Caenorhabditis elegans: one gene and its partner. The protein of the gene in region 1 interacts with the protein of each later gene in a pairwise test. Each region holds a gene or a part of one and is shown on either strand. Other genes may lie near its edges. The genes, in order: madf-2 and fbxa-196.

Region 1 (6,333 bases):
TTTATATTCTAAAGTAAAACTCAGAAAAAAAGGCCAGGACTTACCGGTAAATGCACTAGAGGTCTTGGAGTTGAGGCCCTCACGGATACGAAACATTTCGATCTGAAAATTAATTTTTTTAAATTCTCAAGTCAAAAAATATTTAGTTCATTGAAATTTTTGCTAAAAATTCAGAATCAGCGTGTTTAGTTTACCCTATCTGTGATTTTTCAGAATTCTAGTGCAAAAATCCGTAAAATTCAGTGTTTCGGTATAGTGTTTGCCAAAATCGGACCTACAGTAACCCAAAAATTTAAAAATTGTAATTGTTGCAATTTGAACTAAAAATTTGAAATCAGCGTATCTTGTTTACCCTATCCGTGATTTTTTAGAGTTCTAGTGCAAAAACCCGTGAAATTCAGGGTTCCGGCGGTGTTTGCACGAAATCGGGCCTACAGTAACCCGGAAATCTCCAAAAACCTGCTAGAGCTCTCAAAATTGCGGCCTAGAGGTAAAATACAGCGCTGAATTCAAAAATTTTAATGATTTTCGCCAAAAATTTCAAATTTCAGCTAAAACTAGCCTACCATCTCATTATCACCGAAATCTTTCTTAGCTCTCACAGTCCATAGAGGTCGGGATTTTGATGTCAACTCGACAAGCGTGGCTTCAGCGCTTTCCGTCCATTTTGTAGGCATTTTGGCTGAAAATTTGCTGAAAATTTGCTTAAACTAGAGAAAAATTGAAGAAAATCAAGAAATTTCACCGTTTTGAACAGAATTCTGGAAAAAAACTTTAAAAAATTAGAAAAAAAAACAATTAAAAATATTTTTTGCAAGTTATCAATTAACAATAATTATAGGTAATATCACAAAAAATTATCAAATTTTTTTTTTCATTTGAAATTCGTCATCAAAATGGCTCGAAATCTTGGCATTTGTCGGAGGAAAATTGTGCAAACAAATCGATAATTTATTCGTCTAGGAACAGAGCATCGTAAAGCCGGCGTTGAACTCGCAGAGCATTCATCCGACCTTGTTCATTGGCTATTCTGAAACAGAAAAAAATTATTAGCCAAAGCGGGGGGTCGAACTTTGGTGCTGTGAGTGGAAGTTGAGCTTCTACCCAGTTGAGCCACTTGCCCACTTGAATTTTTTTCGAGTTTTTCAAAATTTTAAAAACTTTTTCGACTCAGAATTTTACGCTAAAAACGATTTTTCATGTGAAATTCTGGAAAAACAAACCTCCGCAAATTCGCGGCAACCATTGCTCCAAAATGATCAAATTCGTCTTGATGGGCGACTGGCGGAGTGGTAATAACTTGCATCGGCTGAATATTGGACACCTGGCGGCGGCATGACTAAAATTTCAAAGTTTTTGAAAGAAATTTATAAATTTAGGCAAAATACTCGGGGTTACTGTAGATCAAAAAGTGTGCAATCGAATTTTTTTGTAGTTTTGAGGAATATCTCAGTAAAATCAATAGGATTTTTGAATTCAGCATCAAAAATTAGTCCTGGGGCTCAGTTTTGAGAGCTCTAGCAGTTTTTTTAAATTTTTGGTGGGTTACTGTAGCTCCGAAAGTGTGCAAACACCGAATTTCACGGATTTTTGCACAAAAACTCTGAAAAATTACAGGTATGGTGAACAAAAAACGCTGTTTTCGAATTTTTGACTTAAAATTTTTCTAAAAAAAATAGGGACCTAAAAAATTTAGTTGTTTTCTTTTTTCTGGGTTACTGTAGCTAGAAAAGTGTGTGCAAACGATATTTTGCACTAAAAACTTGAATTCCGAGTAATTTAATGACGCCAAATTCAAATTTTTTATCGAAAACTACTCCCGACTTCTCACTTCCAAAATATTACCTTCTTCCTGCCCGGCTGCTCATCCTCATCTTCCAGCTCCTCTTCCAACCCACTTGACGACCCATTTGGGCTTCTAGTCGGACTATAGTGAACGCCACGTTTTAAAGACGTGGATGACGTCACGAATGTTGATGATGACGTCATTTTTGGTTCATTGGAGCACGTAGCAATCTGTGAGGAGTCAATCATCGACTGTTGTGATAATTGCGGTGGAGGTTGATTATTGAACATTTGGAACATTTTCTCCTCAGTTGATGTGGGCTCATAGGAGATTTGTGCTCTGAAAAGTTTAGATTTAAAGAAAAATTGGTGGCCTAGAAATTGGAAAACTTCGGCCGTGAATTTTTATGAAAGTTTTTTTTAGTTTTTAAACCACTCAAAAATGTTGATTCTCCGCCGAGGTATAGCTCAATAAAGTTGCTGGCCTAGTTTTGGAATTCTAGGCCATATGTACCTGAAAACTAGGCTACCGTGGTATTTTTATTTCAATTTTTGAAAAAAAATTGAGAAAAAAGAAAAAAAAAATTTTTCAAATTTTTTCAAACTCTTGTAACTTGTTCAATTTTTGCCCGTTTTTGCAAATTTTTATTACAAAATTAAGCTAATTGTTTAAATTTACAACATTTTAAAAGTTAGCCAAAAAAAAAGTCTTCCGAATTCTGAAAAAAATTGAATTTTTTTTTTGTTTTTTGAAAAAAAAAATTATTTTGGATTTTTGACTTTTTTTTTCAAACCCTTGTAACTTTCTCAATTTTCGTTTTTTTTCGGAGTTTTTTTGTCACAATGACTCAAATTTTCTGAGTTTTAACGTTTTTTTTTACAATTTGACGGTTGGGTCCCCCCACGAAAAGGAGTACTGTAGTTTTCGTGTCGGGAGCCAAAATAGTCCAAACCTAGTCATGATTTTACGTAAAAAAAAAAGCTCCCGATAAACTGATTACGAATTTTATTGTTTTAAAATGTAAAACTGAAATTTCCATGAATTTTTAAGACTTTGGGTCCTACCACGAAAATGAAAGAGTACTGTAGTTTTCGCGGCGGGACCCAAAAAAGTCTAAACCTAGCCATGATTATACTTGAATGAAAGCTCTCGGTGAACTGATTACAAATTTTATTCTCTAGAAATTAAAAATTGAAAAATCATAAAGTTTTGAGACTTTGGGTCACGCCACGAAAAGGAATACTGTAGTTTTCGTGGCGGGACCCAAAATAGTCAAAACTTAGTCATGATTATACTTAAATGAAAGCTCTTGTTAATCTCTATTCAAATTTTTGCGTAAAATCCAAAAAAGCACAAACCTCTGCCCACACGACGTGGAATTCGGGGCCAACTCATAGGTGTGCTCACACGTGTCGCCGAGCCTTTTCGCCTCCTTCTCATCTAGAAAAGTGAGCATTCTATAAAATTTCCAAGTGGGCTCTTTCATCGCGTCTTCCATATATTTTCCCTCGTGAACCCATCGGAGCTTCCGTACAAATGTGTCTTTTAGATTTTTCCACTGAGATCTGACGTCTTCACACGTGAATTTTATGGGCATTTGAAACATTGAATTGAGCTCTGACGTCACTTCACGGAGGCAGGAGGTCTGGAAACGGAGAAAATCGATAATTTATTGATTTTTTAAGATTTTTTACTTTATTTTTTTGAAAATTCTGCAATTTTCTTAAATTTTAACATTTTCAAAAAAGTTTTTATTTTTTATTTTTTTTGAATTTAAATATTTTAAAATTTGCCAAAATATAACTTATAATTTTATTGAATTTTGGAAAACTTTTTAAATTCTACAAAAAAATCTGGCTAAATTTTTTTTCAAACTCCTTAGCTTTTCAAGTTTTAAACAATGTTTGGCAATTTTTTTGTCAAAAAAGGGAAATTTTTGAAATTTTACAATTTGAAAGAGTTTGAGATTAGAATATCACCAAAATTATGAAAAAAAAATATTTTTTTTTTTGGAAACTGTTTTTTTAAATTTTTTAAATATTTTGCAAACCCGTAACTTTTTCTATTTTCAACAATTTTTGGCATTTCTTTTTTCAAAAAAAGGCCAATTTTTAGCAGTTTCAATATTAAATAAAATTTCAGATCACAATCTTGTAAAAGTTTTGAGAGAAATATATTTTTTTGGAAACAAATTTTTTTAAACCCCGTAAGCCTCATTTTCAACAATTTTTGGCAATTTTTTTTTGTCAAAAAAGACTAATTTTTAGAAATTTAAAAATTATATAAAATATATAATATCATAGGATAACTTTTTCTAAAGTGTTTTATTTTAACTCTGCAAAAAATTTGTGTTTTCTACTAAACTTTAAAATTGTTCAATCCTCTGTAAGTTCCTCAATTTCCAACATTTATCAAAGATTTTTCTACCAAAATGACCCAAATTTCCTGAACATCAACCACATACCTTCAAAGTTCTATAATTACTTTCTCCAAAATAATTCTTATCCCAAATGACTGGCCGGTTCCGAATGGCATTGATGAGGCACTGACGGGATGGATCCGTCCATTGTGCCATTTTTCTGAAAAAATTAGGTTTTTTTTTGTTGGAAATAGGTAATGGAAATATGATAATAAAAAAAATAGGAAAAAGAAAAAAATTAATAATTAAAAAAATTCGAACATTTTTGAAAAGATTTTTTTTTGGAAATTAATTTCCCTCGAATTTTTTATAATTTGCTAAAACTTTCAAATCAGAAGAACTGATATTTTCTTACTAAATTTAGATTTTTATAGAAAGTTTTCAATAAAAATCTGGTAGAAATTGTGATAAAATGCACAAAAAGTCCGAGTTTCTGGTCGTAAAAATTTGAATTATAGATAATTAAAAAATTAATTTTTGGAAAAAATTTTTGGGAAAAAAATTTGAAAACATTTTTTTTTTGGAAAAATTTAATTTTCTTCTAAAATTCAAAATTTGTATAGGCAATTAATTTTCAGATAATTCAAAAAAATCAAATTTTAATGTTTTATTCTAGAAAAAAATTACCCAAAATTTAGTCAAAATATCCAGAAAAAACCGCAGTTCCGCTAAAAAAATTTTTTGCAAAAAAATCCGGTTTTTCCGCTAAAAATTTTTGCACAAAAAAAACCTATTTCTCGCCAAAGGAATCTTTGAAAAAACCAAATTTCCTAGTCGTAAAAATCCCGAATTTCTCATTAAAATCAACAAAAACTCTCGAAAATTTCGATAAAAACGCCTAAAAACGTGGCAAACACAGGTGGTGGCAAAGAGATGTGCGACCGCGACGCGTCGCTGTCGCGCGTCGCGTTTCTCTGCGTCTCGGCCGTCAGGCACACTGTCTCAGTGTGTGTCTGCCGCGACAGCGACTTGACTGGGGGGACTCTCCGTGTTCGGTGTGCTCTCTCGCGGGGGGGGGGGGGTACCCCGTTCGGGTTAAGGAGGGAGGGAACCGCCCGTGTTTTTCACTTTATGTACATTATGTATTTCATCTTTGATGATTATTCCTCAAGTGTCAGACGGCCCGAAGAAGCTAGCCGGGGGCCGGGAGTGGGTTACGGTAACGTAATTTTTTGGAAAATGTAGGAAAATGTAAGACAATGTGTACCAAACCCCAAAAAATTTTTTTTGGTCATTGGAATTTCCTGAGAAAGCAAAAAGAAAAAAAACAATATGAGAATTTGACATTGAAAATTGCTCACCAAAAAATTTTTTTTTGGAAGGTAGGCTAGGGTTACTATACAAGAAACCTACGATTACAGAAAAAAGTAAAATTCACAAAAAAAACCTATAATTATTAATTTTTGTCACTGGAAACACCCAAAATTGCTCAAAAAAATCCAAAAGAAGGCGATAGGCCTGGGTAACGTTACCAGAAGCCTAGAAATACGGAAAAAAATCTGTAAAATGAAAAAATCTTGTGAATTTATTAATTTCGATCACTGGAATATCATGAAAAAAGCAAAAATTTGGAAAAAATCAGGAATTTGACAAAATTGCTCGCCAAAAATTTATGGTTAAGTTAAAATTGCCAAGAAATGCAGTGGAATTTGACACAGAATATTTTCCAAAATTTTTCCCAGAAAATTTGAATTCCCGCCAAAATTTTTCTCACAAAATTTGAATTCCCGCCAAATTTTTTCTCACATAATTTGAATTCCCGCCAAAATTTTCTCAAAAAATTTGAATTCCCGCCAAAATTTTCTCAAAAAATTTGAATTCCCGCCAACATTTTCTCAGAAATTTAGAATTCCCTCCAAAATTTTTCTCAGAAAATTTGAATTCCCGCCAAATTTTTTCTCACATAATTTGAATTCCCGCCAAAATTTTCTCAAAAAATTTGAATTCCCGCCAAAATTTTCTCAAAAAATTTGAATTCCCGCCAACATTTTCTCAGAAATTTAGAATTCCCTCCAAAATTTTTCTCAGAAAATTTGAATTCCCGCCAAAATTTTTCTCACAAAATTTGAATTCCCGCCAAATTTTTTCTCACATAATTTGAATTCCCGCCAAAATTTTCTCAAAAAAT
Region 2 (3,911 bases), on another chromosome or scaffold:
GGAGAGAAGGGTTTATGTTGATTTTATCAAAGCACAGGTTCCATCTGTTAGAAAACTAGATGACGAGATTATGAGCAATGAAATTGAAATTACGAAACGAAGATTGTCTCGAGCAAATGATTTGATCTCGATGAGCAGAAGAAGCAGGTACTTACAATTAGGAATATCTGATATTATGACTCTTTTTACACTACACAATTTCAGTATGGTGACCTCGTCGATGCTATCTTGGTTCGAGAGAGAAGAGGGTGAAACTCTGGAAAACGTGAAAAGGGCTTCAAGTTTTCTAGAACCAAGTGCAGCTGAAACCCCCATGAGACCACGACGGCTTGAACCTCTTCCCGGAAGACGTAAAACTAATAGTGAAAGCAATGGATTAATGTTGTTAGGTACAAAGTAAGTGATTTTATATATTAGTTGAGAGATTATGAAATGTTTCTAAATTCGTTTTTGTTCATTTTCAGAGCTGTGCAACATCGCAAGTAAAAGGCCCAATTATGTGGAGAGTCTGTCGAATATATTTTTTTCTAAACTATTATTATCATTTTTCAACTAAATATAAATACTATCTGAATAAGTCTCATGATAGGTATTCAAAAGTTAGTAGTGCCTACCTTACAATAAGAGTAACTACGGTAGTTGTCTGAGTCTATTTTGGTCAGTGTTCTTCAAAATGTAGAATTTTGGAAACATCATTTGAAATTTCGATTTGATCTTACAATCAGTTCAATATAATACCACTTTTGGGGTTTTCACAGGAATTCTGCAGACAGTTTTATTGGGAACTAGTTCAGAGCAGAGGTGGGCGGATATTTTTTCGGATATTTTCTAATAATGAATTTATCAATAAGTATTGATGTAGTTATTCTGGAAAAAATGTATCCGAACAAAAGAGTAACTATTAAGAAACATTTTAATATGATAAAACCTAGAAAAATTCTACAAGTTTTCTGTATAAACGATATGCAAGTCCATTATCCGATATCCGTAATATCCGTAATATCCGATATCCGATGTTGCTCGGCTAATAAGTTTTAAGGTCTCGGTAAGGAAAACTTGTAGAATTTTTCTAGGTTTTATCATATTAAAATGTTGCTTAATAGTTACTCTTTGGTTCGGATACATTTCTTCCAGAATAACTACATCAATACTAATTGATAAATTCATTATTAGAAAATATCCGAAAAAATATCCGCCCACCTCTGGTTCAGAGTAAAAATCCATTGTTAACCATAGGAAATGCACTGGATTCTATACTGAATTTTCAGATGAAAATTTTCAGACTCACCGTGTGTTTAGCAGGAATGATTTACAGATTCTAAAAGCCCAATTTGTCAGAAGATATAACATGTTCAACTTATTTCTTATCATACCACACGGTTACATAATTCCCTAGTAGGCTATAAGGTAATGCAGGTTTCACCCCACTTTATTTATTTCGGCATTATCACTTTTTTTTTCAATAAATATCACTTTTTAATTTCACGTTTTTAAAAAAATAGTGAAATAATTAAAACATTTTAGAAAGCCAAATTTTAAGTGAGCGTGAAACGAAAAAAAAAACCGCCCATGAAATTTCAAATTTATTTATTTCTTGATACTTCGCCAGCTCTACGAAGTTTTTCCAAATCGTCAAAATGTCCGATTCACCAAGAAGCGACGAAGAGGATCTCAGTGAAGGTTCGGACAGCTCAGTATCACTGCATCAGTAAATTTTTCACTATATTATGCTACGTGGATCTCTTTTATTGAATTGTAATTTCAAACAACTGCCAACGTAGCAAAAACTAAACTGTATGCTGTTATGAAAAGTTTTATTCAAATTTTAGAATCGATCCCAAAATTCAATGTATCGTCACGGACCCACGTGCAGTGCGAATCTTGATTCTACATCAACATCTTCAAGGCATTCCAGTTTTCAATGCATATAAAGCAATGAACAAGGTATTTGGAGATCACTTTATGGAATACCGACACTTTGAATATTGGTATATGGGACTTGCAAATGGGAGTTTAACCGTAGACTCTTATGATAGGTTTGTGTTTTTTCAATGAACATAATATCACAGTACCTTTTATAGATTTCATACATCAGAGAGAAAAGAGTTCACCGACTTTTCAACCTACTTCCAAGCAATGATTCTGGATAAACTGAATCCAATTGATCGGTAAGAATTGATTGTATTTTTGTTTTGTAAATACAAAATCTTCAGGTTTGCTGCACGCGCAGTTTGCCGTGGTTTTAAGTCTATGATCGATTATCAACATTCTAACCTGAAAACGATGACTATGTATCTAGAAGAGAAAAGCGTTGGATTGAAGACAAACGGTGGCTACGTGACCTATGAATTGGAGGATGAGGACTGTCAAGTGAACTATAAGAAACGGAAAATGATTGTTAAGGATAAGAAACCATTGGAGGTTGCTATGAAGGATGTATCAAGACTTTTGAAGATCAGAGGATTAGATATGGATTACTTCGCAATTATTATGACGGAAATTATGGAAGAAGAGTTCGTTTCATTTGATGCTATTAACGACGTTCTTAAATCAATTGGAATCCTGTCGGCAAAATCAGTATTGCTCGATTGGTTTCACACTTTTGAAATTACTGTACTTCTGAAATACTTTAAGCCTGGAATCCTGGAGGACTTAACAATTAAATGTCTTGAATCCGATGAAGAGTTCACAGGAAATCTGGTGTACCTGGAACAGTGGAAAAAGGCAAAGAATCTGAAATTGTCTAAAGTCCCAAATTTTCCAATTATCGTCGAACATCTCGATAACTTCAAATCTTTGAACTTCGACTTCCATGGGGAACCTTTCTCAAGAGATGATATCATGAAGCTTCGAGATGTGAGTTTCCTTTCATATATCAATTTTCCCAAATAAACTTTCAGGAGGTTCTTCTAAAATCAACCAAGTTTGAATACTTTTCTTGTAAAAATGTGAAATTCAACACAAAAATGTTCGTGAAAGTTTTTGATGCTCGCTCAACTCTATTTTGTTCGTCTGGCTCAATTGTTTATGAATCGTCCAATGGAATATTCGATATTGCTTATCATCCGAATGGGTTCAACATTAAGAAGAAAATTGACTCGCAAGTTTGAACTCGTGAATATTAGGATAATAAATTATTTATCATTTATCAAACTATTTCAGTGTCGAAATATACCACATTTTCAAAAATAATGGAATTGAATTAAAAATATAATCATACCGTATCCATTCAAAACTTCCTGAGCGTTGCGAGACCTGTCCACAAAAGAACACCTCCCTCCAAATTTGGCTACTGTCTTGCTTCATTTTTCATACTGTTTTTTTGTTTCTTTTTCGTTCTTTTTCAGCCTTGGTCTGTTTTTTCCTTTTCACCTCCTTATTCTCTCTTTTTCATACACAAATAGCAAGAGAATAAGATGATAGAAGAGACGCAGAGTGCGAAAGGACGGAGCCTCGTTGCCCGCCGAACACTGAGGTTTATTGACTTTTCTACTGCTTTTCGAGCTGCTTTCGCGGAAAAAAAGATTGAGCTTTCTTTCGAGAGCTTTCGACTGTGCTTCTCGACTAAAAATATCGAAATACAACTTTTAGTTTGTCTTGCTAGCCTATCTTTTTGAAAATAATTTGTCAGGAAGCTGAATTGGGAAGAAAACGGAATAGTTAAAAATTTTACCTGTGATTTGTGCGATTATACGCATTTTTAACCATGTGTCTCGATAATTTCAATTATAACATTTTCCTCTGTCTCTTTCTATTTCGTTATCTTTTTTTTCTCATTTACAGTTGTTTCTTATTACAGAATAATCTCTCTCCAACAGAATGACGATATGAAAGTAATAAAAGGCGTCACGTTCATCGTTCTCGTCTTCTTCTCCTCACTTCTCGGAACTGTTTTTCTTCTTTTTCCGCTT

What was found.
Region 2: the proteins of madf-2 (region 1) and fbxa-196 interact in a two-hybrid assay, tested with the Caenorhabditis elegans proteins (one large-scale study listed by BioGRID).

The regions. Positions count from the first base shown.
Region 1 is NC_003279.8:11,275,654-11,281,986, forward strand, and holds madf-2 (MADF domain-containing protein), read right to left. Parts: upstream 4,366-6,333; 5' UTR 4,362-4,365; coding exon 4,251-4,361; intron 3,432-4,250; coding exon 3,145-3,431; intron 2,126-3,144; coding exon 1,846-2,125; intron 1,340-1,845; coding exon 1,224-1,339; intron 1,031-1,223; coding exon 952-1,030; 3' UTR 793-951; downstream 1-792. Other genes in the region: F36D1.9 (MADF domain-containing protein), read right to left, coding at 45-102, 567-677.
Region 2 is NC_003283.11:6,447,071-6,450,981, forward strand, and holds fbxa-196 (F-box domain-containing protein), read left to right. Parts: upstream 1-1,585; 5' UTR 1,586-1,637; coding exon 1,638-1,708; intron 1,709-1,829; coding exon 1,830-2,036; intron 2,037-2,081; coding exon 2,082-2,168; intron 2,169-2,213; coding exon 2,214-2,856; intron 2,857-2,900; coding exon 2,901-3,110; 3' UTR 3,111-3,147; downstream 3,148-3,911. Other genes in the region: T05H4.3 (U2A'/phosphoprotein 32 family A C-terminal domain-containing protein), read left to right, coding at 1-147, 205-396, 465-486; acl-8 (Phospholipid/glycerol acyltransferase domain-containing protein), read left to right, coding at 3,828-3,911.